Linked DNA regions of Xenopus tropicalis. Each later gene encodes a partner of the first gene's protein in a complex. Links are inferred from orthologs where the notes say so. Each region holds a gene or a part of one and is shown in the gene's direction. Other genes may lie near its edges.

Evidence for each region.
Region 2: acad9 (region 1) and ndufaf1 share a complex: the UniProt entries of both Homo sapiens proteins name them as parts of the mitochondrial complex. The link is inferred for Xenopus tropicalis from reciprocal best matches to the Homo sapiens genes ACAD9 and NDUFAF1.
Region 3: acad9 (region 1) and coa1 share a complex: the UniProt entries of both Homo sapiens proteins name them as parts of the mitochondrial complex. The link is inferred for Xenopus tropicalis from reciprocal best matches to the Homo sapiens genes ACAD9 and COA1.
Region 4: the proteins of acad9 (region 1) and ecsit are in contact, whole or in part, in a cryo-EM structure (PDB 8PHE), measured with the Homo sapiens proteins. The link is inferred for Xenopus tropicalis from reciprocal best matches to the Homo sapiens genes ACAD9 and ECSIT. Residues at the interface, in NP_054768.2 of Homo sapiens: Leu180, Thr181, Asp188, Ala189, Ala190, Ser191, Ile192, Lys228, Lys239, Asp240, Lys241, Ile242, Phe293, Ala296, Met297, Leu300, Ile431, Met434, Tyr435, Leu438, Thr439, Leu441, Gln442, Gly445, Thr449, Leu516, Gly520, Lys521, Ile523, Met524; in NP_057665.2 of Homo sapiens: Pro321, Glu322, Glu323, Trp324, Asn325, Leu326, Tyr327, Tyr328, Pro329, Met330, Leu332, Asp333, Leu334.
Region 5: acad9 (region 1) and tmem186 share a complex: the UniProt entries of both Homo sapiens proteins name them as parts of the mitochondrial complex. The link is inferred for Xenopus tropicalis from reciprocal best matches to the Homo sapiens genes ACAD9 and TMEM186.

The regions. Positions count from the first base shown.
Region 1 is NC_030680.2:151,577,511-151,583,453, forward strand, and holds the end of acad9 (acyl-CoA dehydrogenase family member 9, mitochondrial), read left to right. Parts: intron 1-2,445; coding exon 2,446-2,518; intron 2,519-3,169; coding exon 3,170-3,270; 3' UTR 3,271-3,704; downstream 3,705-5,943. Other genes in the region: uncharacterized protein KIAA1257 homolog, read right to left, coding at 3,748-3,946, 4,631-4,827, 4,962-5,182. UniProt on the Homo sapiens protein: As part of the MCIA complex, primarily participates in the assembly of the mitochondrial complex I and therefore plays a role in oxidative phosphorylation.
Region 2 is NC_030684.2:115,759,752-115,766,431, reverse strand, and holds the start of ndufaf1 (complex I intermediate-associated protein 30, mitochondrial), read left to right. Parts: upstream 1-2,025; 5' UTR 2,026-2,026; coding exon of another isoform or gene 2,027-2,028; coding exon 2,029-2,541; intron 2,542-4,547; coding exon 4,548-4,733; intron 4,734-5,933; coding exon 5,934-6,056; intron 6,057-6,680. UniProt on the Homo sapiens protein: As part of the MCIA complex, involved in the assembly of the mitochondrial complex I.
Region 3 is NC_030682.2:57,122,471-57,128,609, forward strand, and holds the end of coa1 (cytochrome c oxidase assembly factor 1 homolog), read left to right. Parts: coding exon 1-140; intron 141-3,799; coding exon 3,800-3,876; intron 3,877-4,666; coding exon 4,667-4,766; 3' UTR 4,767-4,857; downstream 4,858-6,139. UniProt on the Homo sapiens protein: Component of the MITRAC (mitochondrial translation regulation assembly intermediate of cytochrome c oxidase complex) complex, that regulates cytochrome c oxidase assembly.
Region 4 is NC_030679.2:139,302,866-139,309,008, reverse strand, and holds part of ecsit (evolutionarily conserved signaling intermediate in Toll pathway, mitochondrial precursor), read left to right. Parts: intron 1-646; coding exon 647-1,019; intron 1,020-4,103; coding exon 4,104-4,327; intron 4,328-4,407; coding exon 4,408-4,465; intron 4,466-4,714; coding exon 4,715-4,863; intron 4,864-5,863; coding exon 5,864-5,963; intron 5,964-6,143.
Region 5 is NC_030685.2:38,350,456-38,357,089, forward strand, and holds the start of tmem186 (transmembrane protein 186), read left to right. Parts: upstream 1-3,024; 5' UTR 3,025-3,119; intron 3,120-5,735; 5' UTR 5,736-5,744; coding exon 5,745-6,473; 3' UTR 6,474-6,634. Other genes in the region: pmm1 (phosphomannomutase 2), read right to left, coding at 1,347-1,458, 2,787-2,849. UniProt on the Homo sapiens protein: As part of the MCIA complex, required for efficient assembly of the mitochondrial complex I.

The DNA.
Region 1 (5,943 bases):
TGTTTATATGGGAGTTACTCCCCCTGTAGGAGCCGGTGGGTAAGTGCGGGGGGAGCGCTGGGCTCTGTGTGGGGTTTAATGGATTGAAATAAACTAAAAAAAATTTGTAACTTTATCATCTGTGCGAGAATATAAATGTATTTGGTCACTAGGGGGCCCCCCTGCGCAGCTCTGCGGCTCCATTTCCTCATATAAATATTATATTCCTTATCATTTCCCTGTTATTGGTCTTATTTATTATTGTACTCACTTTAGCTCCAGGTCCCACTTCCTATCCCATAGTAGCACCTATAGTAGTACCCATAGTAGCACCTATAGTAGTACCCATAGTAGCACCTATAGTAGTACTCACAGTAGCACCTATAGTAGCACCCATAGTAGTACTCACAGTAGCACCCATAGTAGCACCTATAGTAGTACTCACAGTAGCACCTATAGTAGCACCCACAGTAGTACCTATAGTAGTACTCACAGTAGCACCCATAGTAGTACTCACAGTAGCACCTATAGTAGCACCCACAGTAGTACCCATAGTAGTACTCACAGTAGCACCTATAGTAGTACTCACAGTAGCACCTATAGTAGTACTCACAGTAGCACCTATAGTAGTACTCACAGTAGCACCTATAGTAGCACCCACAGTAGTACCCACAGTAGTACCTATAGTAGTACCCACAGTAGCACCTATAGTAGTACCCACAATAGCACCTATAGTAGCACCCACAGTAGTACCTATAGTAGTACTCACAGTAGCACCTATAATAGTACTCACAGTAGCACCTATAGTAGCACCCACAGTAGTACCTATAGTAGTACTCACAGTAGCACCTATAGTAGTACTCACAGTAGCACCTATAGTAGCACCCACAGTAGTACCTATAGTAGTACCTATAGTAGTACCCATAGTAGTACTCACAGTAGCACCTATAGTAGTACCCACAGTAGTACCTATAGTAGTACCCACAGTAGCACCTATAGTAGTACCCACAATAGCACCTATAGTAGCACCCACAGTAGTACCTATAGTAGTACTCACAGTAGCACCTATAATAGTACTCACAGTAGCACCTATAGTAGCACCCACAGTAGTACCTATAGTAGTACTCACAGTAGCACCTATAGTAGTACTCACAGTAGCACCTATAGTAGCACCCACAGTAGTACCTATAGTAGTACCCATAGTAGTACTCACAGTAGCACCTATAGTAGTACCCACAGTAGTACCTATAGTAGTACTCACAGTAGCACCTATAGTAGTACCCACAGTAGTACCCATAGTAGTACTCACAGTAGCACCTATAGTAGTACCCACAGTAGTACCTATAGTAGTACTCACAGTAGCACCTATAGTAGTACCCACAGTAGTACCTATAGTAGTACTCACAGTAGCACCTATAGTAGTACCCACAGTAGTACCTATAGTAGTACTCACAGTAGCACCTATAGTAGTACTCACAGTAGCACCCACAGTAGTACCTATAGTAGTACTCACAGTAGCACCCATAGTAGCACCTATAGTAGTACCCACAGTAGTACCTATAATAGTACTCACAGTAGCACCCACAGTAGTACCTATAGTAGTACTCACAGTAGCACCCACTGTAGTACCTCTAGTAGCACCCACAGTAGCACCTATAGTAGTACTCACAGTAGCACCCACAGTAGCACCTATAGTAGTACTCACAGTAGCACCTATAGTAGTACTCACAGTAGCACCTTTAGTAGTACTCACAGTAGCACCCATAGTAGCACCTATAGTAGCACCCATAATAGTACTTATAGTAGCCACCAGGGCTATCTGCAATGGTGGTAGAGTCTAAGGCATTTGAAGTGGATGTGGGTTGGTGCCCGCTGGTGCTGCGCCACACTCTGCCCTACAGACATCCCAGCTAGCCCCACTGGGCCCCACACTTGATTTCTCTCTGGTAACTGAAGTCAGGTCCCCCCAAATAGACCCCAATGAAACAGCGCCCCCCGGGGACCAATTCACGCTAAATAAAGTGACAGATCTCGCTCTCCCCGAACCTCTAAAATGGGTCACAGGGGAACCAGTAGCCTGTCTGTTGGCCCAGGGGCCAGTCTGTGTGCCCAGTACCCCGAGAGTGGGTCCCTAGCACCCAGTGTGTGTGGTTCCTATAGGCCCAGGGGCCAGTCTGTGTGCCCAGTACCCTGAGAGTGGGTCCCTAGCACCCAGTGTGTGCGGTTCCTATAGGCCCAGGGGCCAGTCTGTGTGCCCAGTACCCCGAGAGTGGGTCCCTAGCACCCAGTGTGTGTGGTTCCTATAGGCCCAGGGGCCAGTCTGTGTGCCCAGTACCCCGAGAGTGGGTCCCTAGCACCCAGTGTGTGCGGTTCCTATAGGCCCAGGGGCCAGTCTGTGTGCCCAGTACCCCGAGAGTGGGTCCCTAGCACCTCATTTGGTCTCATTTGCCTGTTTGCCCCCCCCAGGTGCTGTTGGCCAACATGTTCTGCTCCGAGGCTTATTTCAAGAACAACTACACCCTGGCCCAGCTGGGCAAGCGTAAGTACCGCCCCCGGCCCGGCCTCTAAGAGCAGTGAGGTTCTGAAGCAGCTTTGCAGTTGGTCTTTGTTTTCACAGGTTCCATTTTTTAACTGTTGTTGTTCAGTTTGGGGCCCCTATGTGCCCTAGGGGGGGGGGGGGGCAGCTGGGGGGGGGGGGGGGGGGGTGGGGTGGGGTTGGAGATCCCGGGTATTCAAGGCAAGGACTCAGGGTTGGGGCACAATGAAGACCAACTGCAAAGAGGAATTTCACTTCGGGAAATACTTATAGTCAGTTTAAAGGCCAACTATCCCCTGTGTGGCGCCGGCCAATAGCGCTGACCCCTCACGCTGCCGGCCAATAGCGCTGACCCCTCACGCTGCCGGCCAATAGCGCTGACCCCTCACGCTGCCGGCCAATAGCGCTGACCCCTCACGCTGCCGGCCAATAGCGCTGACCCCTCACGCTGCCGGCCAATAGCGCTGACCCCTCACGCTGCCGGCCAATAGCGCTGACCCCTCACGCTGCCGGCCAATAGCGCTGACCCCTCACGCTGCCGGCCAATAGCGCTGACCCCTCACGCTGCCGGCCAATAGCGCTGACCCCTCACGCTGCCGGCCAATAGCGCTGACCCCTCACGCTGCCGGCCAATCAGCTGTCTGTTCCGCGCAGATTCCCCGGAGAACCAGGACGACAGTATCCGGAAGATCGCGGCGCACGTTCTGGAGAAGAGGGGGTACACCTGCTCCCACCCCCTGGACAGAACCTTCTGAGCGGCACTTGCCCAATGGACTTAGTTACCCCGGGGCGTAGGCGCCAGTCGCACCAATCAGAGCCCAGAGCTGGGGGTTCGTTTGCACAGAACTTATCGCTACTTTGTACCAGATTTTGATTAAATTTCATTGATCTCCTTTTCTGATTGGTCGGGAAGATTCCGTTTCCACCGTAAGTGCCTTCAGGCCTGTAGCTTTAGTGGAACTACCTCTCCCAGAATCCCCTGTGTGCCTTCTTTATTGCAATGCTGGGGGCCACAGTATTACTGACTTTGATTGGGCGGAGCTTGTGGTCCTTGATGTAATGGTTTGAACAGGCACCGCCCCATGTGCCCAGGAGCCAATCACACCAGGAGGAAGTGACACCCAAACAATAAAGGGGAAGTTTACCTGCTGTTTTATTTCTGCTACAATAAAGGGCAGCGACTCTGTTATCCACCGGCGAATCATTATTCTCATATGTGAAAGGGGCGGAGTTTACTGAACCTGCAGCAGGAATCCATTGTGGCTCTGGGTCTGGATAATGTTGCCGGAGGCCTGAACCCTTCTCTTTGTGCCCGGCTCTGTGCCCCCCTGTGCCCGGGTCTGGGCCAGCGCCAGCAGAACCCCTCTCTCTTCTGGGCTCAGATCCTTTATTTCTCCTTTGTACAGAAACGAGTGCTGGGAGCAGTTTAGGCTGCGGCAGAGAAACGGGGAATAAGGAATCATACAGGGTAATGTTTGGTGCTGCCACCGTGACCCAGGGCATTCCCATAGTAACCAGCGGTGCCAGGGCATTCCCATAGTAACCCACGGGGCCGGGGCCTGACCCAGGGCATTCCCATAGTAACCCACGGGGCCGGGGCCTGACCCAGGGCATTCCCATAGTAACCCACGGGGCCGGGGCCTGACCCAGGGCATTCCCATAGTAACCCACGGGGCCGGGGCCTGACCCAGGGCATTCCCATAGTAACCCACGGGGCCGGGGCCTGACCCAGGGCATTCCCATAGTAACCCACGGGGCCGGGGCCTGACCCAGGGCATTCCCATAGTAACCCACGGGGCCGGGGCCTGACCCAGGGCATTCCCATAGTAACCCACGGGGCCGGGGCCTGACCCAGGGCATTCCCATAGTAACCCACGGGGCCGGGGCCTGACCCAGGGCATTCCCATAATAACCAACCAGGAGAAATGGGGAGGGGAATAGAAATGTGGGAGGGAGAGGAGGGTGGGGCTGACAGTGGGGGAGCAAAGATATAAGCACTGTATTTGGGGGTGCACACCACCCCCCTGTCTGCCACTGCTTGTCTCTGGCCAATAGGATTGCTAATAATAAGTTGCCCCGCCCCCAGAGCTGTAGTGTAACTATAACTGGACTCACTTGAAGTCTTGGCCTTTCAGTTGCTGGAACTTTCCACGCTCTGTGTTGGGACAGGGGATTGCGTTTCCTTCCCACGTCAGGCGGTGGCGCCCCAACTCTCCTGGCACAAAGTGACTGGCACGGAGCTGCCCCCCCTCCTGGCCAATGTAATTGGGGTTGGGCCCAGAGTTCTGCAGCACAGACAGCGCCGGCACCGGCTGCACAAGAATAAATTCATCATAAATGCCGGCCCATTCCCCCCCCCCCCCAGTAATCTGCCCTGTTACCCCAGCACTTGCCCCATGTTTCATTCCAGTACTCCCTGCGCCCCAGTGCTGGGGGCCCCCCATACCTTCAGTGCCAGGCCGGCCCGGCGCAGAGACAGTTTGGCAGGTTTATCCTTCAGGAGCCCCTCCAGCCGGCCCTGAGCGCTACTGGCCTGGGGCCCCCCTGCTGCCAGTTCTGTAGCCGCCAGGCACCGGTGGAACCTCATGCTCTGAGTATTAGCTCTGGGGCCCTCCTGCTGGTACTCGGCCCGCCGGCCTCTCCTCTCTTCCTCCTGCGGGGTCTCACCTTAAAGGGACAGCACATCAGTCTCATCACATGAGTGACACCCCCCCCAACTGCCCCATGGGCACCCCCTTATTCTGCCAGATAAGTACCAAGTGGGGATTCAAGTCCTTATGGGTGAGCTGTGGGATGGTCACTTGCCCTGCCAGGGCTGTCACTTTTGGGGCTCATTACTGACCCCCCGTCACTTGCAAAACCGCAGAACTGCAGTCAGTGCAACATTCAGAGTGGGGGGGCAACTCTTCTGGGGGTGCAAGAAGGAGGGCACTTTCCTTTTGCCTTATCTTTCATAAATGTGCCCTCTCTCTCCCCAATATATACCCATGCCCCCCATCTACACTCCCCCAACTGTACCCACTCTCTACCCCAACTGTACCCACTCTCTCCCCCAATATATACCCACTCTCTCCCCCAATAGATGCCCACTCTCTCCCCCAACTGTACCCACTCTCTCCCCCAACTGTACCCACTCTCTCCTCCAATATATACCCACTCTCTCCCCCAATAGATGCCCACTCTCTCCCCCAACTGTACCCACTCTCTCCCCCAATATATACCCACTCTCTCCCCCAATAGATGCCCACACACTTGTCCAATATATACCCACTCTCTCCCCAATATATACCCACTCTCTCCCCAATATATACCCACTCTCTCCCCCAATAGATACCCACTCTCTCCCCCAACAGATGCCCACTCTCTCCCCCAACTGTACCCATTCTCTCCCCCAATAGATGCCCACACACTTGTCCAATATATACCCA
Region 2 (6,680 bases), on another chromosome or scaffold:
GCATAAAGACACTCTATTTAAAATAGTAGTAAGCTGAGCACTGTTACAGAAAGCACTTGTTATCAAATGCTTATCCATGGCAGTTGTGTGTTAAATACAACCCTAATCAGTCTGGGAATAGACCAGCACAGCCGCTGGTAAGATGGCGGTGTGCTTATCTGTTGTGTTTCCAAATGGTAAATTCATTATAACTAGAAACACCTGTATACATACACTATCTGTAACATCTATAACAATCATTTTTGTGTTAGTTTCCCTTAAATGCTTCCTACTCAAACTATTTTTTTTTATCAACTTTGTAATTTTGTGATATTAAGAAAGGACAAAGTCTTTTGCGGCTTTTTGTGTCTGGTACTGTGGGACTGGCTCCAACTCATATGCACATGCACATGCATTCATGTACACATATAGAAAATCAATAAAAAAGTAACTGCACTCACAGGCCTTACTAAGTGTTAGGAAACAGTTTTATTGTTAACGTTTTGGTCACATACAAGATTTTGCTCCATTTGGCTAATTAAAATGTGGCCAATCCAGAGAATGAATCAGGTCATCAATTGGCAGTTTTTTCTTTTTTGGATATTTACTTTCACCAAGTAGCACTGAAGGCCTAATAGTAAATACTTAAGACATATGATGTAAACTACACTGGTGGCCTGTAATTAGCACGGCTCCCTGAATTTGGTTCCAATCTGGGCACTGTATGTTTTTCCTGTGCTTGTGTGGGTTTCCTCTGGGAACTGTGATTCCTCTTAAACCATACAGTGAGCTTTATTGGCCTTTGATGAAAGTGACCTTAGTGTATGTAAATGATATAGGGACCTTAGATTGTAAGCTCCAATGGCAAAGGGGCAGATGAGTATCATAATCAATGCAATGTGCTGCATTTATATATGAGTGATATATAAATAAAGGATAATATTTAAAACTGAGGAAAAGGGATGCAATATTGCCTAGTATGTGGTATATGTATTAAGCTTTTTACACAAACTAACACGATCTTCTTAACTCACTGTTTCTTATAAATTCATAATTTTGAATGCACGTGATGGCTGGATAGATGAATGATAATCTTAGTTAGGTAGACTAATCTGTAACGTTGTCTTCAAGAATGTTTGTTAGGTGTAAATAAAGCTGTATACAAACGCTTTCCCATGCGTTCCATCAGCAACGCATCTGCGCATGCCTGCCTTTGCCTGCCCGCTCTCACGTTTAATTGGTTGGCTAGCGGTGAGGTCATTAGGAGGCGACACGGACACGCATGCTCAGAGGTTCACGGGTTGTCAGTACTATGGCTCCTTGAAGGAGTGCACTGTGGAGGTGAGCCGCTGTAGCCTTATGGAATAATGGTAATACTGTGTGCTTGCTTCAGCTGCAGCCCCATACCAGGTATATAATGGAACTTGTTGCGGTACAGGCAGCTATGCAGGGTCCTTCAGGGCTTTACCACTTAGGCAATAAAGGCACATAGTATCCAAGCTCCTTTCTGTCATTTACATTGTTTTGCACCAACTTGACCTTCTTTTGTTATGTCAGTCTCTGCTGAAATGATGACCTTGCCTTCCTAAGCTTCTGCTTCCAGGGGTAAGCCTTTTGGTTATTGATGATGATCTCTCTGTATATGTATCAGCATGCATTGCTAGGAAATGTATGAGCCCTAAACCCACAATACCTACTTAGCACATGTCTCTGTCCCTTCCCCCAAGCGAGTTGCTCTCTTAAACTTCACACCTTACCTGATGCTCCCCACTGCTGTAATGTATTCAATGTTGGTTGGTTGCAATGGTGCAGATATGTTTGTAAATAACCCCCCCCCCCCAAGAATCTTTGATGTTGATAATTGCGCCCTGAGGAAAAACACAGTAACTTCTACAGATTTCTTTAAAAAATGTATTTGTATTTAAATGTCTTAAATGATATTGTCTTTTTCTCTCAAACCCCAAATTATTTTTAGGTAAAGGCCCCTGGGTTTCATGCAACATTCAGGATTTTATAAACTGAACATTTTTATTTTATATCTAAACAGCAATGGCTTTAAGCTTAAATATAATACAGAAGCTACATCTGTGCAGACATCCCAGATGGACTAAACCATTCTGCCCATTGTTGCACCCGTCTTCACAACTCTTGCAATGCAAACTGTACAGCAGCAAATATCGCAGGCCTGGCCTCCCCCCAGACAACACTCCTCCTTGGAAAAGGATCAATTTCAGCTTTGAGAAGGGAGTGGCAGGAGTGAAGAAACACTTTGGGTTGCTGAAGAAGGAAGTAGAGGATCATTTGAGAGGTCCTGGGGGAAAGACTTTGAGGGAGAATATTTTGGAGCAGACAAATGTTGTTTGGGAGTTCAGAAGCTTAGAGGATCTGGACAAATGGACTCTATCGTCAGACCAGGAGATAGGAGGGAAAAGTCAGGTGTCTCTAAAGCTGGGAAGGAACAATCAGACAGCTCTTTTTTATGGTACCCTCAATACTGAAGTTCCTCGGGATGGCGAAACAAGATACAGTGGGTACTGCACTATGAAGTCCAAAACCCCTTTGGTAAGTACAGTGCTAGTAAAGAGAAATAATGCACTTCCATGTAAAGGGGTTGTTCGCCTTTATATTTACTTTTAGTCTGATGTAAAGACTGATATTCTGACACAGTTTGGCTTCTGGGGTCAGTGACCCCCATTTGAAAGCCAGAAAGAGCCAGAAGAAGTCAAATAATTCAAAAACTATGATTAAAAAATATTGAAAACCACTTGAAAAGTTGTAACAAATAAGTCTACAGTGTAACATACTAAAGCTGAACTTAAAGAATCACATCTGTTGCTAAATATTTTTAGTGTTCATAAATTTTTTTTTTTTTTTTTAAATGTAACTTTTAAATATGAAGGAATAGCAAATTCACTGTGGGATGCCAATATGTTGGGCGCCCCCCGAGTGAATAAAATTGCTATGTCTTTATCCCTGGGGTTGGTGCTACTGTTGGGAAAAATACACAGTGCTACATGGCTTAATTACCTTTCCCAGGCGTCTGTAGGGCAGACTTAAGGCCATACATGGGCAGATTTAAGCTAGATAAGCCACTCAATGCAACTGCAATAGGAAAGCATTGTTGTGTTTTAGCCTCTGCCCTTGAGCCACTGTCCCTCTTAACAACAGTGTGGTTACTATGCAACACAGAAGAGCTGCGGAACAGAAGCTACACACAGATAATAACTGTCCAAATAGTTATTATTGTTGTTTTAGAATAGCTCTACCCATTTTATTGGTTGCTAATGGGTTACGGCACCTAGGCAAAATTATTGCCTTTTTATATATTGGGTTAAATATATGGCAGTGTCAGGGGGAAATGTTCTATAAAAGGCAGTAAAGGTGTGGGTTGCTGTGCTCATTATTAAATGTTTAAAGGCTACACTGTACCATTTATTCACTGCCTTTATTTAATATTTAGACTGATCTGATAGCAGTTCCAAATAAAAGACTAATGAGAATGTTGGTGAACTGCTACATTTTATATTGAAACCAGTTAAGTGTGCACAGTCTGTTTATTGAATATTTAATGGTAGGTATGTGCAACATGCATCAAACTACAGTGGCCATTAGGGAAAGCTGGAGATTTATAGCTGGAGGGCCAACGGCCTTTGGTTTTTGTTACTTACTGGAGTGGACCATTACCATTTCCATTATAAACAATTTTTATGAAATATGCATGGTTTACCTCCAATTTATTTCCTCTTTTAGGTAAAAGGATTCTGTCATGATTTTTATGGCATACTTTTTATTTCTGAATTACACTGGTTACATAGCAAATAATTCACTCTACCATTTAACACTTTATTCTTGAACCAACAAATGTATTTTTTAGCTGTAATATTGGTGTGTAGGCGCCATCTCAGTGCATTGTGTGTCTGAGCTTTCAGAAGGAGCCAGTGCTACATATTAGAACTGCTTTCAGGTAACTTAATATATCTCCTACTCCAATGTAACTGGAGGAGTCCCAAGCCGGACTTGGATTTCTTGCTATTGAGTGCTATTCTGATACCTACTGGGAGCTGCTATCTTGCTCGCTTCCCATTGTTCTGCTGATCGGCTGCTGGGAGGGGGGATATCACTCCAACTTGCAGCTCAGCAGTAAAGAGTGACTGAAGTTTATCAGATCACAGGTCACATGACTGTGGCACCCTGGGAAATGAAGAATATGTCTAACCCAATGTGAAATACAAAATAAAAAATGTTTGTGCTTTAAAAAATTGTATTTCAATGCAGGATTCTGCTGAAGAAGCTGTATTAACTGATATATTTTGAAAAAATGTTTTCCCATGACAGTTTTTCTTTAAGTATTTATCTCCATAAACTTTAATGTAACAGCTCCCCCAGTGGCCAGATAATAATGAACGTTAGCAGACTGCCAGCTTGGCTTTACCAACAAATAACATTTCACATGTGTGATTGCAACCATGGCCTGTCTTCTCCAGAGTAATAAATCTGTCATTGCAAAAACCTCAGGGTATAAATCAATGCACATAAATGTTTCATGATTGTTTGTTTTTAACATGTAGGGAGCATTCAATCGTAAGCTGCATTATGACTGGTCCAACTTTAACACTCTGTACTTGCGAGTACGTGGGGATGGACGACCTTGGATGGTGAACATCAAGTCAGACAGCTATTTCTCCCAACAAAGGGATGATCTATACAATTATTTCATATACACCCAAGGAGGCCCTTACTGGCAAGACATAAAGGTAAAAGAAAACCATTAAATCCTGTATTTGAGGTTGGGATGAGTTTGCCAAGATTGGGCAAACTAATATCTGGCTGTGTAATAGTTTAATCCCATCTAAAAATGACAGATTGCAGCCACTTCCTGCAGAGAAGAGGTGTCATTAAAAAAAACATCAAGCTTGGGCAGTTTAAGCATGGGGACATTGGACTTCCGGTGGGTGGGCCTTCCTAATGGATGCCATTGTTCTGAGTTTCCTGCTTAGACAGAGGGGTGCCCCATTTCACCCTGCCCGGACCCCTTAGTTGCCCAGAGCACAAAGACTATAGCGGATGGGATGAGTGTATAAGGATAACGGGCAGAAAGTCCTCATTTTTCAGGACTTCTCTCCCTCTGTAACCCAGAGGAGATGGGAGTTTCCCCCATCTGTAAACATCTATTTAAACATAAGGTTTTGCACTACAATATCCTGAGAGTTACACGTAAGGGATGAATCCTAACCTTTCTTTTTTCCTTTTCGGGAAAGGTTCAAATAACTGGCAGTAAGATGTGAAAAAATAATAGCAGCTAATGGTAGAAAATATTATGCAATTTGTATATCTGATACAGGACCTGGGCACTGTGCCAAATGACAATTGTAAGGAGGCTTTAGAGTTCTCATTGTTTGACTCTTTAAACCTGAAAGGATGATACATCCATAAGCCTTTATTAAATGGCTAAATGTCCTAGATGTGTGCTGGGAAAAAGTTCTGTGACCCTTATGCTTTGGGCCTACACGCAAAGTATCGGGAGGTGGTTAGTAACACACTGACCAAGCAGCTTACCTGAGTCTCTGCCTACTTGGCCTTCATTAGTGACCACCTCCTACACACCCAGAGGCCAGGCTAGGCTCGGCAGGCTATAACTGTCAAATGGAAGTTGCTTACTTCCCCAAACAGGATTGGACCAGTAATATAAAAGCTGGGATTTACAGAAAGTAAACCTACTGTAATTGTGTATATTAAAACCTTTTTTTTTATCTGTTTATCTATGTACTTGCTCCTAATGCACTTTGCTGAAAAAAAAGTACTATGTAGAATACCAGCCTGTATTGGCCTGTGTAAGAAGCAGGCAGTATATGGGGTAAACACAATAATGATGTATATATTGTATGTACCAGTTGCTCAGTCAATGTCTCAGACATCCATAAATGCTTTATGTTTGCTTTGTTTGTCCACCTCAGTGCAGAGAAAATGTGTACATCTCATTGAGTAGTTGTTGTCTCTGGCAGATCCCTTTCTCCAAATTCTTCTTATCCAGTCGTGGCAGAATTCAGGACAACCAGCATCCTCTATGGACTGACAAGGTGTGTAAGTTAAAAACAACCTAGGAACATAATTAGAGATAGCGATTGGAAGCCTTGTCACAGCCATTCCTGTGTGCCAGTATTAAGTCAAAACCATCTGTGGAGGGCAGTAGCCATGAATGGGTATTATGGGTATATATTGCATTGTGTCTTGCTACTGATAATGGATTTGGGGTGTGATTTCAATAGCTGGAGCGCATGCAATCTGTATGAGTGGTTTGGCACATCCATGTTCTCCCACCAAAGGGATGACAATGTCATCTTACACAAGTTACACTCTGCCAGTGGGGTATTGTGAGTTGCCTAAGAAGCCAAAAAGGAAGATTCATAAATTGGTTTGGGTTGCTGATCATTATTAGAGTTGTCAGATCTGTAGTTTTAGGATTATTTGGGATGCTCTGGTCCCAAAAATTGATAGTTCTTGGGGGGAGGGGAATTACCATCTCCAGGAAATAAGGTATGGAATCTATTATCCAGGAACCAGTTATCCAGAGAAGGCCATTTTCCATGGAGGTCGTTTTAATCAAATAATTCAAAATGTTTAAAAATGATTTCCTTTTTCTCTGTACTTAAACAGTACCTTGTACTTGATTCCAGCTAAGACATAATTAATCCCTACTGGAG
Region 3 (6,139 bases), on another chromosome or scaffold:
AGAAGGAATATTACTTGTCTGCCCTTGAGAAGCTTAATTCCCATTCAGAAGCTCTTGAGATATTAGGAGCACCACCCCTTAAGGTTTACAATCTCCGGCTGACAGACAAAAACAACCATGTTGACCAATCAACAGCTCAGGTAAGAGCAAAATGATAAACTTTTCCTTGTGTTAATACACAAATATTAGCAAATGAATATACCCTATATCCTTCCAAATCTTTTGTACTGTTATTATTATCCATTATTTATATAGTGCCAATATATTCTGTTGCACAGAGGTTTAACAACATTCACATCAGTCACAGTATGTAAATTCACATATTTACACACTACAGCCAGTTTTACCAGGAGGCAATTAAATTTCCTATGTTTTGGGAGGTTTAGACCCAGAGGAAACCCACACAGGAAACTAGCAGTTGCTTATGGGGCATTGCTGGGTTCGGTATTTCACACATCCAAATTTCATGCAAGGCTGCATTTCCCAGCCTCCTCCTTATGACTACAACCTGAATGAGGTCCTCACCTGATGGGATTTTAAAACCAGTACAGTCAGGGGGGCAGCCCATCAGCTGCTGACTTGGTTTGAAGGAGCCATGTTAACTTTGGTACCTGTATGGTCAGCTTAAAGGAACAGTTCAGCATAAAGATTAAATTGGGTAAAATAGATAGACTGTGAAAAAATATTTGTAATCTAGTTAGTTAGACAAAAATGTAATCTATAAAGGCTGGAGTGGGCAGATGTCTAATATAATGTCCAGAATCCTACTTCCTGCTTTACAACTCTCTAACTTCTTAGTTAGTCAGTGACTTTAGTCACTTTAGTTTGCTCACAAACTAACTGACAGTTATGTCCCTTGTGCCCCCCCCCTAAAGTCACTGACTAACTAACAGACTAGAGAGCTGAAAGTGTTCAGGCTATTATGTTAGACATCTGCCCATTCCAGCCTTTATAGATTACATTTTTGCCCAACTAACTATATTACAAATATTTTTATTTTGCGCAGTCTGTCTGTTTTACCCAGTTTCTTTTTTACATTGAACTGTTCTTTTAAAGGAACAGTAACACCAAAAAATGAAAGTATATAAAAGTAACTAAAATATAATGTGCTGCTGCCCTGCACTGGTAAAAGTTGTGTGTTTACTTCAGAAAGTCTACTATAGTTTATATAAATAAGCTGCTATGTAGCCATGGAGGCAGCCATTCAAAGGAGAAGAGGCACAGGCACATAACAGATAAAACACTATTGTATTCTACAGAACTTATCTGTTATCTGCTATGTAACCTGTGCCTTTTCTCCTTTTTTCCAGCTTAAATGGTTGCCCCCGTGGCTACACAGCAGCTTATTATATAAATTATAGTAGTGTTACTGTAGCAAACACACCAGTTTTACCAGTGCAGGGCAACAGTGCATTATATTTTTATTGCTTTACAGCTCTTTCATTTTTTGGAGTTACTGTTCCTTTAAGAAAGGAAACAGAGGACAGAATAGTTCTATAAGAGAGGGCTCTTGGGCTCACACACATGCCTCAGACCACTAATACCTTGCAAGAATCTCAACCATCATGTACTTTGAAGCTAGGGCTGAGTGCTTGTAGCTGCAAACAACAAATGAACAAAATATACTTTATTAACACTATATAAATTATTTAAATGTTGTTTCCTTCAGCAGTGGGAGTGATTCACTATCATAGCAAGCACCATTTTGTAGACATTTGCATCATCCTAAAATCTTGTGTATGCACCAGAATGGGGGACCTCAGGACCCACCCAAAATATATTTATAGGCTCCCTCTGCACAAAATTGTTTGTAACACGTGGGGAAAGCAAATTTGTCGGTCACGTACCCACTGCACATAATCACAGGGGACCTGCAACAGGAGCAAAGTTCCAGCTCACCTGTGACACCTCTCTCTCTCTCTCGTAGTTCAAGAAAGCAGACTGCTGGACCCCCTGTACCCCTGGGCTCCGTCTGCAGCTGTAGAGTCTGCTTCCTTGGTTTATGCCACTGATGCCCATGCACAGTCTTCACATTTCAAGCCCCGATGGGCCCACACACCCCAGTCTGACTCCTGAACAGCCCTACCACCATTTTCATTTTATTTAGTCAGAAGCTTTTGGGGAACAGGCACACCCAACTTTTCACCAGGTGCAGATCAGATGGGGAATCTCATCTCTCCCCCTCCAAATTACAATAGTCCAAAACATACTTTGATGCACTGTGGATTTTTTTTCATCAAAAATACAAAATCATTCTCTTTATTATATCAATGTTTTGACACCACAGAGGGATATCTTCCTCAGAATCCTAATATTTGCTAAGGGGCATAGTTAACAATTTTTTTCCCAGCAGAATGGATAAATAGAAATGCATTAACAGCACATATCATATATAGGGTTTCAGTGATGGTGAGACCATATAATTCAAGCAACCTCACATCCTGCCTGCTTCAATACTTGCAACATAAATATATTTTGTGCCCTACTCTTGGAGTTACTCTAAATGCTTATTATACCGGTGACCAGACCTTGACCTTTTGCCCAGGGGTGAGTGTGCCTAGAACCCTAATTTCAGTTGATTCAGGCAGGCATCTGTTGAGTCACAGGGTATTACTAGATGATATACAATCATTGTCATTAAAGCCTTAGAGAGAACAAAACAGCAAGTTACTCCTTGCTTGTCATTGCTGGCTAAGCATATCGGACTGCATGATGATAACAGTATTATACTGATAGGGAGCCCTAAGGACAGGTGGTAACCTTAAGCAACCACAAAAGCTGCTTATGTGCTGCTATGACATATGCTAAGGATTGCATGTTTCTTAGGGTATCTGGGAATTTCAGCCTGATACCAAAGCCATGGAGGCTTTAACAGCAGGGATAACTTTATGTAATAATGACTCGCATTCCATAAGCATGTCAATAAAACATATATAATAATATAATATTCATGTTATACAGAGGAGTATGTCATAGCATGTTAGCAAAAGTTTCCATATCCTGATATTGGTGAAACTTTGTATTTAATAAGTAATTTTTGCTCTATTTCTGCACTTTTGCCTGATCCCATATAAGTATTTCCTGTCCTGTGCAGGCATGTTATGGCTTGCTGGTTATTTATTTACTTGTGCTCAAACCACAGTACACTACGTTCATGGGCAGACTGGCAGACTGAGGGTGCCCACTGGTTTATACTTGCTGGTTACTTGCTGTGCCGGGAACTGACTGGATGCTCAGAGGGACTTGGATGCTTTATGAGCAGTGTAAAGCTTGGGTACCACAGCACAATAGCATTTAGCCAAGTCCCAATGCCACCAATATAATGATAGTTTGTGCATGGCTGCAGTAATAATATGTAACCACATTTGTACTCATTAGTAAATGAGTCCCCCTTTTTTCACAAGCTTCATACCTCATTGTAACTATTGAATGCAGTGGTCTCAGTTACTAAAGGACATCACAATGGGTCAGCTGTGGAAAGTAAATTTTCTATAATACAATATTAACACAGACAGTGGAAAATAGCAGTCTGGCCACAAAACGACATGTGCCACTGGTCGCTAGATAAATAAAGGAAAATAATACAAATAGAAATGTTGTTCTATGCCAGTGAAGGTATGCTGCTTGAGATGCACTCCACCTTCTCCTTCTTCCCTGTTATTAACAGAATCTCGCAGAACACAATGCACACAAATATGTAGGTAGGTCTCAGAACAGAAGCTTATTTCATATCATAGGAATTTGTAGCATGCTTGATAAAACAACCACTCAGCCTTAATAATTACTGATGTGTTTGCAGATCAAGATTCCAGTCTCAGGAACGTTGTCAGCTGGGCACCTTTATACCACGTCTGTCAGAGACCGAGTAAATAACAGGTGGGGGTGTGTGGCTGTATTGTTGTGTGGCCATTTTATCTACCTTTATCCTTTAATTAATATTTTCTTAAAAATACCATAACATATTTATAGGAAGAGAAACAAAACGAGATCTGTGTCTTAATTGTGCATGTTTCAGTCCAGTCCATGCTCTTAATGATGTTTCACTATGCCCACCAATCCATATGTTACAATATAATGCTAAATGTTTTGCTTGTATAGCTGCAAATCTACCCACACTATTATTTCTGATAAGGCAAAATAAATATAACAACGAGATTACCAGTTACCTACCTACCTAAAGGCCTTCACATGGTTCTTTGGCTTTAATTTTTGTCTGCTGTTTTAAATTTTGGAGCCTTTATGGAATATGCAAAATAGTATTCTTGTATCAGGGATGTTTAACCTGTAGCCCTTTAGCTGTAGATAAACTACAACCACCAGCAATCTTGCTGATTTGGGAAAGAGTGACGACACCTGTGGAGCCACTTGTGTATATATATATATATATATATATATATAAATATATATATACAGTATATATATATTATAAATAAGCCACCCCATATGTTCTGCACTCATAATGTACACACATAATGTAGCATCTGCCTGTGTGCTGCCATATGAGAATATATAAATTCACATAATAAACAACAAACATACTCCAGGGCTTCATAATGTGGTGAAAAAGAAAAAAAGTATTTATTTGTCAGCCTTTCGGTTCATGTTTGGGACCTTTCTCGAGACACAGAAAAACAAGATTTTTGTCTCTGTCTGTCCGTCCCTTCAGGTGGTCTCTTCAGGAAGTCATCTTGCAACTGAATAATGGTCTGCGCATTCCAATCCATGAATCCAATGTGGCAGATGGAGATGAAAAGGAAACTTTATAAAATATTTTTGTTAAGATAATAAAACCGTTTTTTCATATGCTGCATGTTTATTAAGGGAACTGATACCTAAAATAAATATTTATGGGTGATATAAGAAAATAAACTGTGGATTATTGGGGGGGTTATAGTAGGGGTTGTGTAATGAGCTTTTGTCAGGATTGCAAATGATCTGCAAAAATCCTTCAGGTTCAGTCAACTAAATCCACGTATTGCGAATTTAGTGTATAAAAAGAGCCATTAAGTGCTGCTTACATCTACCTACCTCAGGTTTTATTGTGTAAAGGACTTTGGTTCCCTTTTTTTTGTTTTAGCGAGGATTTTGCTAACAGATGAAAGTGTGGAATAATTGATTTTATGTTCATCCTGCATGAGCAATTCAGTCAAAATTAACAATTCAGGACTATGGCATTCTTTTTCACTGATTTTTATGTACCCTTTTTTATGCATCTGCATTAATTGTTAATTAGCCATACAGGGAATTGGTAATGGAAGAACAAAAGAGAGCCTTTAATGGCCTCTCCCCATTCAACAGTTGTATCTGAGATTTGTGTTCCCATTTTTCTGCCCCCAACCAGAGGGCTGGTATTATTGACAGGAAAAAGTGGCAACCCAATGGACAGCCTGCTGTTTTCTCTCATTCTCTAAGCAGACAAGGTTGAGCCAAGAACCTGAAGCATGTAGTTCAGGGTCCCCAACCTTTCTTACTCATGGCCACTATCAAATTTAAAAAGACTCACAAGCCACTGGTTGGAGATCACTGATGTAGTGTATGTGACTAAAGGATAGTGAGTGGGACTAATATCTGCCACTGAAGGGCTACTGTGAGTTGTATAACATCTCTGTTTTTTGCATGTTTCCCTAACAATTTTCTGTTAGGTGCAGTGTTGGACTGGCCCACCAGAATACTTGGAGAGCTACTGGTGGGCCCTCCTGCTCCTGACCATTTGACCTTCATGGTCATTCCCTATTTCTGAATGAAAACAAGGAGGAGAAATAGCAGAAGGATATATGCTAGCATGTAAATAAAAGAGACTAGGAGAATAAAGAGATTGGGTGAGGAAAGGAGGTGGAATATCATTGTTATTATCCTTTATATATTGTGCTGACATCTTAGTCAGCACATTACAGAAATTATACATCATTCACATCAGTCACCTAACCAGTGGAGCTTACAATATAAAGTGCTCTTACATGATGGGGTTCTGTACCAGCCCAAGGCAACCATGGCCCTTTAGCAGGGAAGATCTGTGCCTCCAAATATGCCCCAGTAGCTCCTCATCTTCTTTCTGCTAATTCCCTGCACATGCTCTGTGCTGCTGTCAGTTACTGAGTTTAGGGACCAACTCACAATATACTGTATACAGTATAATTAT
Region 4 (6,143 bases), on another chromosome or scaffold:
TTCCATTCTCTCCTGTCCCCTCTCATAGTCAGACTTTCCCTTTAATCTCGGGCGTGTACCCTCCTTCAGTTACAGACAGGGCACACTGGCTACCTAGTGGGCAACAATTTAGAGAAATGGAGGGCACTCCTGGCTAGAATATCCTTGCCAGGAGTTATTATATATACAAAAAATAAGTATAAAGTATCCAGGTGCTAGGGTTTTAATAATCCCCCCATAAGAGGACTATACACATCCACAAAAACCCTGCACACCAGAATAAACTTTCCCAGGGAGGTATTTATAATTAAAAAAAACATTTTATTCATTTAAACAAAGGCGTTTGAGCGGAAACGTTGGGGTATTCTCTCATCCAGATTATCTGCCTTCATATCTTGTTTTTCAGTTATTACACTGGGGGTATGTATTTATTTGCTTTTTGATGGATATACAATTTTTAAGGTTGATACTTTTTTCTGTATCATGTTTAAATGAATAAAATGTTTTTTTTTAATTATAAATACCTCCCTGGGGAAGTTTTTTCTGGTGTGCAGGGTTTTTGTGGGGTTTTGTACCTAGTGGGCAACCACTGCATATTGTCACCTGAGTAATAGAACTTCCCTGGAAGCTTAATCAGAAATGTTATCCTGTGCATGTCGTCTTCCAGAAACAGGTGACCTGCTGTCTTCACACATCTCCGCCTCCTGGGCCTCCCCAAGCCACTTCCTCAGCCGGCTCGGTTACTCCATACGAGGATGTGTTCCAGAGGGAGCAGAGGAACAAAGCCTCCTTTGTGGAGGTCCTTGATCTTTACTGCAACCGAGATGTGAGGAGGAGAGGACATGTGGAGATCATAGAGGCGGCTCTTAGATGGATGACGGAGTTTGGGGTGGAAAAGGACTTGGAGGTTTATAATAAATTGCTTGACGTGTTTCCCAAGGAGGTCTTTGTCCCCCAAAATTACATCCAGAGGATGTTCAACCACTACCCACGCCAGCAGGAGTGCGCCATAAGGGTGCTAGAGCAGATGGAGAATTACGGTAAAGAGCCTACTACTTACTACACTACTTACTATGGGCCAAGGAGGGGGCTATGGGACATGGAGTCTGTCCCTCCCACTGCAGGGTGATACAGTGACACAGACAGGAGGGGGCTATGGGACACGGAGTCTGTCCCTCCCACTGCAGGGTGATACAGTGACACAGACAGGAGGGAGCTATGGGACATGGAGTCTGTCCCTCCCGCTGCAGGGTGATACAGTGACACAGACAGGAGGGGGCTATGGGACATGTCTGCCCCTCCCACTGCAGGGTGATACAGTGACACAGACAGGAGGGAGCTATGGAACACGGAGTCTGTCCCTCCCACTGCAGGGTGATACAGTGACACAGACAGGAGGGGGCTATGGGACACTGAGTCTGTCCCTCCCACTGCAGGGTGATACAGTGACACAGACAGGAGGGAGCTATGGGACATGGAGTCTGTCCCTCCCGCTGCAGGGTGATACAGTGACACAGACAGGAGGGGGCTATGGGACATGTCTGCCCCTCCCACTGCAGGGTGATACAGTGACACAGACAGGAGGGAGCTATGGGACACGGAGTCTGCCCCTCCCACTGCAGGGTGATACAGTGACACAGACAGGAGGGGGCTATGGGACACTGAGTCTGCCCCTCCCACTGCAGGGTGATACAGTGACACAGACAGGAGGGAGCTATGGGACACGGAGTCTGCCCCTCCCACTGCAGGGTGATACAGTGACACAGACAGGAGGGGGCTATGGGACACAGAGTCTGCCCCTCCCACTGCAAGGTGATACAGTGACACAGACAGGAGGGAGCTATGGGACACGGAGTCTGCCCCTCCCACTGCAGGGTGATACAGTGACACAGACAGGAGGGGGCTATGGGACACGGAGTCTGCCCCTCCCACTGCAGGGTGATACAGTGACACAGACAGGAGGGAGCTATGGGACATGGAGTCTGCCCCTCCCACTGCAGGGTGATACAGTGACACAGACAGGAGGGGGCTATGGGACACGGAGTCTGTCCCTCCCACTGCAGGGTGATACAGTGACACAGACAGGAGGGAGCTATGGGACATGGAGTCTGCCCCTCCCACTGCAGGGTGATACAGTGACACAGACAGGAGGGGGCTATGGGACATGGAGTCTGCCCCTCCCACTGCAGGGTGATACAGTGACACAGACAGGAGGGGGCTATGGGACACGGAGTCTGCCCCTCCCACTGCAGGGTGATACAGTGACACAGACAGGAGGGAGCTATGGGACATGGAGTCTGCCCCTCCCACTGCAGGGTGATACAGTGACACAGACGGGAGGGGGCTATGGGACACGGAGTCTGTCCCTCCCACTGCAGGGTGATACAGTGACACAGACAGGAGGGAGCTATGGGACATGGAGTCTGTCCCTCCCGCTGCAGGGTGATACAGTGACACAGACAAGGAGGGAGCTATGGGACATGTCTGCCCCTCCCACTGCAGGGTGATACAGTGACACAGACAGGAGGGAGCTATGGGACACGGAGTCTGCCCCTCCCACTGCAGGGTGATACAGTGACACAGACAGGAGGGAGCTATGGGACACGGAGTCTGCCCCTCCCACTGCAGGGTGATACAGTGACACAGACAGGAGGGGGCTATGGGACACTGAGTCTGCCCCTCCCACTGCAGGGTGATACAGTGACACAGACAGGAGGGAGCTATGGGACATGGAGTCTGCCCCTCCCACTGCAGGGTGATACAGTGACACAGACAGGAGGGGGCTATGGGACACGGAGTCTGTCCCTCCCACTGCAGGGTGATACAGTGACACAGACAGGAGGGAGCTATGGGACATGGAGTCTGCCCCTCCCACTGCAGGGTGATACAGTGACACAGACAGGAGGGGGCTATGGGACATGGAGTCTGCCCCTCCCACTGCAAGGTGATACAGTGACACAGACAGGAGGGAGCTATGGGACACAGAGTCTGCCCCTCCCACTGCAGGGTGATACAGTGACACAGACAGGAGGGAGCTATGGGACACAGAGTCTGCCCCTCCCACTGCAGGGTGATACAGTGACACAGACAGGAGGGGGCTATGGGACACGGAGTCTGCCCCTCCCACTGCAGGGTGATACAGTGACACAGACAGGAGGGAGCTATGGGACATGGAGTCTGCCCCTCCCACTGCAGGGTGATACAGTGACACAGACAGGAGGGAGCTATTGGACATGGAGTCTGCCCCTCCCACTGCAGGGTGATACAGTGACACAGACAGGAGGGGGCTATGGGACACGGAGTCTGTCCCTCCCACTGCAGGGTGATACAGTAACACAGACAGGAGGGAGCTATGGGACATGGAGGCTGCCCCTCCCACTGCAGGGTGATACAGTGACACAGACAGGAGGGGGCTATGGGACACGGAGTCTGTCCCTCCCACTGCAGGGTGATACAGTGACACAGACAGGAGGGAGCTATGGGACACGGAGTCTGTCCCTCCCACTGCAGGGTGATACAGTGACACAGACAGGAGGGAGCTATGGGACATGGAGTCTGCCCTTCCCACTGCAGGGTGATACAGTGACACAGACAGGAGGGGGCTATGGGACACGGAGTCTGTCCCTCCCACTGCAGGGTGATACAGTGACACAGACAGGAGGGGGCTATGGGACACGGAGTCTGTCCCTCCCACTGCAGGGTGATACAGTGACACAGACAGGAGGGAGCTATGGGACATGGAGTCTGCCCCTCCCACTGCAGGGTGATACAGTGACACAGACAGGAGGGGGCTATGGGACATGGAGTCTGCCCCTCCCACTGCAGGGTGATACAGTGACACAGACGGGAGGGGGCTATGGGACACGGAGTCTGCCCCTCCCACTGCAGGGTGATACAGTGACACAGACAGGAGGGGGCTATGGGACATGTCTGCCCCTCCCACTGCAGGGTGATACAGTGACACAGACAGGAGGGGGCTATGGGACACGGAGTCTGCCCCTCCCACTGCAGGGTGATACAGTGACACAGACAGGAGGGGGCTATGGGACATGTTTGCCCCATATAATAAACACAAATAGTGGATACTAAGCAGACAGATTTCTCTCTTTTACAATTTTTTGTAGGTATCACCCCCAACAAGCAAACATGCTTTCTCCTGCTACAGATCTTTGGGGCCCGCAGCCACCCCATAAGAAAATACCAGCGTATGATGTACTGGTTCCCACGCTTTAAACACACCAACCCCTTCCCGGTTCCTGCTGAATTACCAGCTGACCCAGTGGAGCTATCCAGGATGTGCCTGCATCGTATTGCCAACGACTTGGATTCTAGGGTCGCCGTGTACCAGGCGAGTATTCTCACACCCACCTACTGTCATCTGTAAAAACTGTGTGCAAGGAGCTAACAGTCTGTTCTGATAATATACAGATGCCCTACACAGAGAAATGCGACGATGGCAAAGAACGGGAGCATCTGCACGTTGTCGGTAGGTGTTGCTCTGTCCCAGATACACTATGATGAGAGGGTTAATCAGTTTAAAAAGAAACAGTATTTCAATATGTTGCACTGCGCCACCTACTGGTGGGGCCACAGAGGTAAAAGCAAAGCCTGTACTCTCACTGCTTTTCACTTTATGGTGAACAAATTGAATTGCCGAATCTATTGCTCCTGTCTGTACCCCCTTGTCGGTAAGTAGGGCTTGGTTATTATATTCCTATCACTGTGTCTTTTGTAGGTATTCAGTCTCCCAGTCAGGTCTCCCTCCTTGCTGCACACAACCCCAGCACCCCTGTATACGTTGAGGGGCCCTTCCCGCTGTGGCTCAGGAAGACGTGTGTGTACTACTACATCCTACGTGCTGACCCCGATCCTATGAGAAAGGAGGTGAGAGTTGATTCCATTAAATGATTAAGTGGGTGTGTCTGGGATCTGTACCGATTGTTTCAACACTGTTTGGCGTTAACATCTCACAACCCACGTGTCTAATTAAAGGAGAAATATGCCAAACTAACTGTTGTGTGACTTGTTTGTGTGCTTTTGAAACTGAATACGCAGGAAGCTTCTCTCTTGCTCTAAATGGCAGGCATGGAAGCTTCCATTTGGCCCAGGATGGTTTCCAGGACCCATTGGGCCCTGCTGGTAATCACTGGCCTGATATTCACTTGCCAGAGGGGCTTCTGTAAGGTGCCATAGACCAGGGGTCCTCAAACTTTTTAAACAGGGGACTATAGTTAGTCCTACCCCCACCTCCACTGCGTCCTCATCCCTGGCTACTACCAGTCTGCCTCAGGGTGGTCCTCAGCCCCAGCGCGTCACATCACCGCGTCACACCAGCCAAGACAAATGACGCTAGACAGGTAGTAGCCAGGGGTGAGGACGCAGCGGGGGATGGGTAAATGACCTTGGGGGGGCTGTATCTGGCCCGCGGGCCATAGTTTGAGGACCCCTGCCATAGACAGTCTGGGCTGGTGGCGGGGAGGCTGGTTGGGCCTCTGTGTACTTGGAATACCAGGGCCAATTTGGATCACTGGCAGAAGAGAACAGTTCTGAGGGACAGAAGAACCAAAAGTTTAGACTAGAAGGGAGCTGTGGAAAATGGTGGGTTATACCATTTCCAGATCAGTCTGTGACCCAACCCCATATTTTCCACTAAAAGTTACTGGTTGGCCAGTCCTGACTGCAATCAAAAATAAATGTGTGATGGTCACCAAGAACTCGTACCTGTGATTTCCTGTGATTCTGGTTACAATTGATTCACACTGATGACATTGGCTGTGGCTGTAAGTGTGGCCATAAACTGTATATATAAGGGGAGAAGGAAAAATTCAGCATAGCATATGCTCGGAAATGTACTCTAACCTTACTACACCTCTCTCTTCCCTAGGAGGAGATAGACAATGAGAGGAGCTTATACTATCCCCTGAGCTTGGACCTGGAGCTGGACAGGGACCTGGGCGATGATGACAGCTTTGATGTTGATGATGGTAAGAAGGGGTTCTGCAATGCTCTGTGTATCTCTGGGGCCATTACGTACAGTTCTATCCTACATTGGAAAGTATGGGTAGGGTGGGGGTTGGTGTAGCTTATTGGGTGAATAAGGTAAAAGGGCCGACCCTGGTTGGATAGAGGTGACTGACATATAACACACACTACCAGAGGTTTCT
Region 5 (6,634 bases), on another chromosome or scaffold:
CTTAAATATATCAAAAGTTCTACTCTGAGCCCTTAAGCTTTACATGGTTATATTAACAGAAGTATAATGTATTCTTATCACATAGTAAGAAAGCAGTCATAACAACATAAAATGTAAATTACTGTCCTGATGGCTTACCCTAAATCATTCAGAATCCTGACTTGTCCCCTGCAGAAAGTATGGGGGCTAAAATTTACTTTTGAACTCTCAAATTTCTGCTGAGACCATTGCTTCTTAAAAGGTAAAAGCAGTCATGTCCGTCATGAGAAAACGCAACACAACACACAAATGCAAAACTTTGCATTCACAATGCCTAAACTCGATGCTTCTACAGGCTCCAAAAGTGACATAGATCATATTGAAGGAATGAGTGTAACAGCACTCTGCACCTCAGTCAGCATATTCACCACAAGGCATAGACTGCAGTGTACTGTGCAACAAGGGCGCTCTTTATGTCATGGCTGCCAAGTACGGGGTTTTGGATACAACTTGCATTCACAGGTGTGTCTGCTTGCATTTTATGAATGAATGCAAGGTACTTGCAAGTGGTTGTCCTTGTCCAGCCTTACATAGGGTGCAAGTAGTGCTCCCCAGCATGCCATTGCCTGGTGGTGCAAATTTTTCGTGACCCCTGTAGGAGCAAATACAAGTCCCTGCAGTTTAGAAATGGTTCACTGCAAATAAAGAAAACACACCAATCTGCTCTTGTTTATGCACTCTGCAGAATGCACTACTAGTGCTCTCTAGTACGTAAGAAGCCTGACAGTATTCACAGTTGTCAGTCAACACAAATGTGATGGACACTTGTGTCTTACCTAAAGGGGTAGTTCACCTTAAAATAACTTTTAGTATGATGCAGACAATTGGATATTCTAAAACAATTTGCAATTGGTCGTAATTTTTATGGTTTTTCAGTTATTTTGGTTTTTTTTTAGCAGCTCTCCACTTTGGTATTTTAGCAGCTATCTGGTTGCTATGGTGCAATTTACCCTAGCAACCAGGCAGTTGTTTGCACAAGAGTTGGGAATACGAACAGAGAAGGGCCTAAATAGAAATATAACTAATACAATAACAATAAATGTAGCCTCAGCTGCTGGGTCCAGTGAAAAGAGTCAAAAGAGACAGGCAAGTAATTTAAAAACTATAAAAGAAATATTAATTCTTATTAATATTATTATTAATAATAATTTATATAATAAGACCAACTGCAAAGTTGCTATAACATTCTATAAAGCTTACCTAAAGGTGAACCACCCCTTTACTATATCTTTCTTTAGCTGTTTCATTGGAGTCATTTTCAACAGTCATCTTTGTTTATTCGCCTTTGTCATGTTTGTTTGCCTTACCATCATCTCCAAGCTGTTCCTTGATTTTTTCAAAATCTGAACCTCCAACAACCCCAACTTTTACCCTTTTTCTCAGCTCTTCTAGAAATTCTGCCATGTCTTTTGTGACTTTCTGTAAAATACAATAATAATATAATAAAATATACTGCTCTGGGAAAAATCGTACTCATAATTCTCTCAAACATGGGGTCCAAAAGATGGACCCTTTATCATGGTTGAACTTCAGCTCCCTATTGCCTGCATCATTCATGTAAATGCAAGACATGCTGGGGTCATTTATCATTGTCCCACGTGCAAATGCTACAGCTCAAAGGGGCTCAAAATTCTGCCTATTACTGACCATTTACCCAGCATAAGGGCCAGCTATGCTCTGCACCTCACAGCAGATTAATAATTAATGTGCTGGCGGGCATGAATTTTTAGCCTCCCAAAGATAGAATGAAATGCAATTAGGGGGGAAGGATAGAAAACTCCTATATGCCCCCTCCCCAGTGGTCCCTTGTGAATACAGCTCTGCAGAGTGCCTGTTTTTTCAGGTTGTCAGGTTGGGGGTGCACAGGGTCTTGAACTCCTCGCTGGACCACAAAGACCTGCATCCATGGTGTGAATGCAGGCTGAGTTCAATTGTGCAAAAAACATGGCAGTTTGAACCAATATCTGCATTTTGTTAAAATTATCCTTACTTTTTATGCAGACAGTGCATAAAAAAAAAAAAGTAATCTAGGATTACTCGAAGATACAGAGCTTCTTGGTGATTTCACCTACTTGTAGCAGTGCTTGTCATTAGCAGTGTGTCCCAAAATGTACTCCAAGCAGCATGTACTAAATGTTTATTGTCATAAAGCAAGCTAAGACCTTTGTTGTTTGTCAGTAAAAAAGATAAACCCAGTCACAAGTACAAGAAAACTTATTCCCCATAGAAGGTGTAAACACTGACCATCACTTTTTTAGAAGTAAAGTGAAATGTATTAATTTTTTACCTAATTTTACCTACTTCTAGACTTAGTACAAGGAAAAAGCTTAATCACTGATGTGGTCACAATTTGTTAGCTACCTCTTAGTACTTATAATAATGTTATAATATATAAAGGGAATTTAACCCCCCCCCCCCTTCTAAATCAATTCTATGCAATTAGCAGGTCAAAATGGATGCATTTTACTGAAATGCAACATACACTATGAATTCCCGGTTGCAGCCCGGAATCCAACATAAACTATAAACTTAATGGGGCAGAAGGGTAGAATTTTGTACTGTTATTTATATTCTGGTAAAGTCTTAATCTTACTCTGTCCTATTGCGTTAACTTTAAGCACTGCATTTACATGCAGTATATAAATGCAACATATACACACATAACATGTTTGCAATGCTGTGTGAAAATAAACTTGTGCCAAAAGTGACAGATCCTTGTGAATAGTTCTCGGTTCTGATACTGGTACCTGCCTGGCTGCTGTCAGGGTGCCATCCACATCGAACAAGCACAGAACGTCACATTGAGCCATGACTGCTGCCAGTCGGATCTTTCTCAGCTCAGATGAATGGAGAAACACAGTCCTTTCAAATGTCAAACAAGCCACATCACAACTTCCTATTTGGGTCCTGAAGCCCAGAGCATGACGGGAACTGTATTGCCGGAGTCAGGATGTCACCGACTGTTCATTGACAAAAGAACTCAATCTCCCAGAATGCCTCGCATGGAATCGGAAGTGATTGTAGCTTAGTGCGCTGGGAAGTTTAGCAAAGGAGAAGCGTGTGTAGGAGTGCGGACAGGGGTGAGTATAGAAGAATCGAGCTGCCTGTCCTTCCCTTAGGCTTAGGGAACTCGTACAAGGAAGTGTTCAAATATGACATTTTATTTAAAAAATTGATGTATTTAGAAACAGAAAATTGCTATGCACAAGAGAAATGCAAAAATAAATAAGAAGGGCGTTGGGTGCCTTGATGTTGGTTTTATTAGTAACTGGTGTTTTAAAGAAATAAACTTGCACCACAAATTTAACAGATCACATTCATTGACAGCGTTGCGCTACGTTAACTCCGGCTTGTCCCAGCCTGGCCCGGAAAGGCAGGAAAACTGGCACCAAGGGGGCAATCCTTTCTTATTCAGTCTGATAAACAACTAAGGAAAAGGGGCATCAAAGTGGGTATCTTTGCCATCCTGCCAGCAGATATATGGGTTAAACTGAGTGGCCAAGGGCGTTTAACCCCTTCATCACCCCTGTTACTTACTCAAATAGGCAGAATCATCATTCATTTATATAATGCCAGCAAATTATGCACCACTTCACAATAAATTTAAACAAACAGGGATTTTAAAAAGTTTAACAAACACGGGTATGCAGAGTAAGAATAGGGTGAGAGGGCCCTGCTCGCAAGAGCTTACAATCTACAGGACTGCAAAGATGCCCAGTAACATCTAGTTATGCCAATGTGCATTGGTATTTAATCCATTGTTGCCACAAGTCTTTTTTTTAAAGGGATTATTCACCTTTTTGTCAATTTTTACTATTTTAAGAATGTCCCAAATTTTTCATTGGTCTTCATTTTTTAACTTTTATAATTTTTCAATTATTTGCCTTTCTCAGAAATTCTCTTTCCAGCTGTCATATGGGGGGTCACTGACCCATTATTATTCTTCCGCTTCTTCTTCTTCTTAGTGCCCCCCATTTTCTAACCGCTACTCCTCCTACAGTTTTAGGGGTACAACACCCAAACTCCCCACACTTCTTCGGCCTATAGAGGAGCAGGTTGCTTGTGCTTTTCTAAGCGATTGCGCCGCTCCGAACCCCCCAATTTTTCCATTGACTTTGACAGGGAAGATATTCAAACTGCTGGCACACTTACAGCTTTGAAGCTGCACCCCCCAAACTTGAATAACATAATAATGGGGTCACCCCGAATGAAACAGCAACATTTGTTGGATGACCCCCAAAGTGGGAGGGGCCAATCAAATTTTACCCATTGACTTTAATGGGGAAATTGAAACTGCTGCCAATCTTACAGCTTTGAGGCTACACTCCCCAAACTTGAATCACATAGTCATGGGGCCAGCCTGAATGAAAATATGATGATTGTTGGATGCCCAAAAGTGGGCGGAGCTGTGAACAGCCAATCAGATTTTACCTGTTGACGGTGGAAGTCCCCAAACTTTGCAGGGTTAGGCACCAGGTGACTGTGGTTCAAGGTTAAAAAAGTGGACGGAGCCACCAACAGCCAATCAGAGTTTACCTATTGACTTTCAATTTTGCTTTAAATTTAAAATGCTGCCAGTCTCACACTATTTATGCCAGGGTGCCCACTGTTTGTCACTGGGTGACTTTGACTCAAGGTTAGAAAAAGGGGCACAACCACCAATCACAATTCACCTATTGACTTTTATTGGTTTAAACTGCTGCCGTTCTTTAACTATTAATCCTAGGGTCCCTAAACTTACCAGAGTTAGTCACTGGGTAACTGCAGTTCCAGGTTAGAAAAAGGGGGTTGAGCCACCAACCACCAATCAAATTTAAGTTGCTGCCATTCAGACACTATTAAAACCAGGGTCCCCAAACTTTGCACAGTGGTTTTTACTGTATAACTGTGGTCCAAGGTCAGAGAAAGTTGGAGGAGCCCATGCAGTGACTTCATGTTTTTCAACCCAACATGAAGTTTTTTCTCAAACTTCCCTTTCTAGTTATTATTGAAACTTTTTAGCCTTATCCTTATATACATGCCCTCTCATTTTAATGTTCTGGCCTCTTTTAATCCAGGGCCTGGTTTCTACGTTAAATTGACCCCTAGCAACCAGTTAGCTGCTGAAAATCCAAATTGCAAATTGTTTCCGAATATCACTCTCTACATCATAGTAAAATTTAATTTAAAGGTGAACTACCCCTTTAAATGAGAGACTGAAAGATGAACGATAAGTAATAATAACAATAAAATTGTTACCTGAGAAAGAAATAACTTTTTGAATTTAAAACTTGGAAAGAGGCAGAAGTGGAAAGCAAATCATTAAAAAACAAAATTAAAAAAAAAAAAGTAGCTGAAATCATGCCATTCTATAACATATTCTGGCCTTGGAACATGTGGTATGACAAATTATTTGAGCACTACATGTAAATTGCAGCACAGTACTGGTATAGACAGTCCAAGAGGCAGTTAATTAGCAACAGGTACCATAGCCACAATGCAGTAGTTTGGAACACAGAATGTAAGATGAATAATAGAGGGTATGAACAGAAAGATAAGAAATACAAGATAAGAATAGAAAGCTGTGGGTGGAAAATAAGCAGAATAGGAAGGCTAATAATTTCAATTTTCTGTGAACTTTTCCTTGAAAAATTTTAGGTAATGTGAGTATATATAAGGCATTATGATCTAACAGTTATATTGTTTCTCCTTTGCAGGACCCAGTCATGGCCCATGTATGCCTGATATCTAGATGCATAAAGTATTTACACATGGGCCAGTTGGCCTGGAGTTCCAAGTTACTTTGCAGAACAACTTTCTTCAGATCCTCTTCAGTGTCACTGACATCATGTCAAGGCTGTTCTTATCTCTTTCTTCATCATCGAAGCAAAGCACCACTTCCTCTAATGAATCAGATTTATTTCTCTTCATCTCCTCCTCTCTTAGCCGGGATCAGTAACACTGAGAAGTTCACGATGATTTATAAGTTTCCAGGAATAAAGTACTGCCGAGCTGTTTCTCGTCTAAAGCTTCTTCAGACAGCACTGACTGCTATATTCCTTCCGCCCATGTATTATTACTATATTCAAGGTCAGGTCACATATTTATGGGTTGTGTATTCTACTGGCACAGCACTGTTTGCAGGTCTTATGCTGTACTGCCTGAGTTTCTACCTCAGAAGAATTATTGGGATGATATATTTAAACACAGCAGGCACCACCTTAAAAGTTTCCCATCTGACATTTTGGGGAAAGAGGAAGGATCTTTATATTCCAATTGATGATGTGAAAGCACTCTCAGAGACTGGAGACCACAGACGTGAAACTATCCTCCAGTTCAAACGATATAGTAGCTCAGACACACTGTATTTTACTTCTCAGTTTGGAATCATTTTGGACAAAGAGAAGTTTATTAGACTGTTTGGAGCTATAAAATGTATAGACGATTTGAAGTAATTAAAGTGCAAGTTAGCCTAAATAAAAATAATTAAAGTAAGTGCTTCAGTTTCCTGTTTGCTTGGAAATAAATTGATAATTTGCTTTTCTATTGGTTGATAATAGTTCCTGCTTGGAAATGCAGTAAAATACACTCAGGCAGTATACAATGATATATAGAT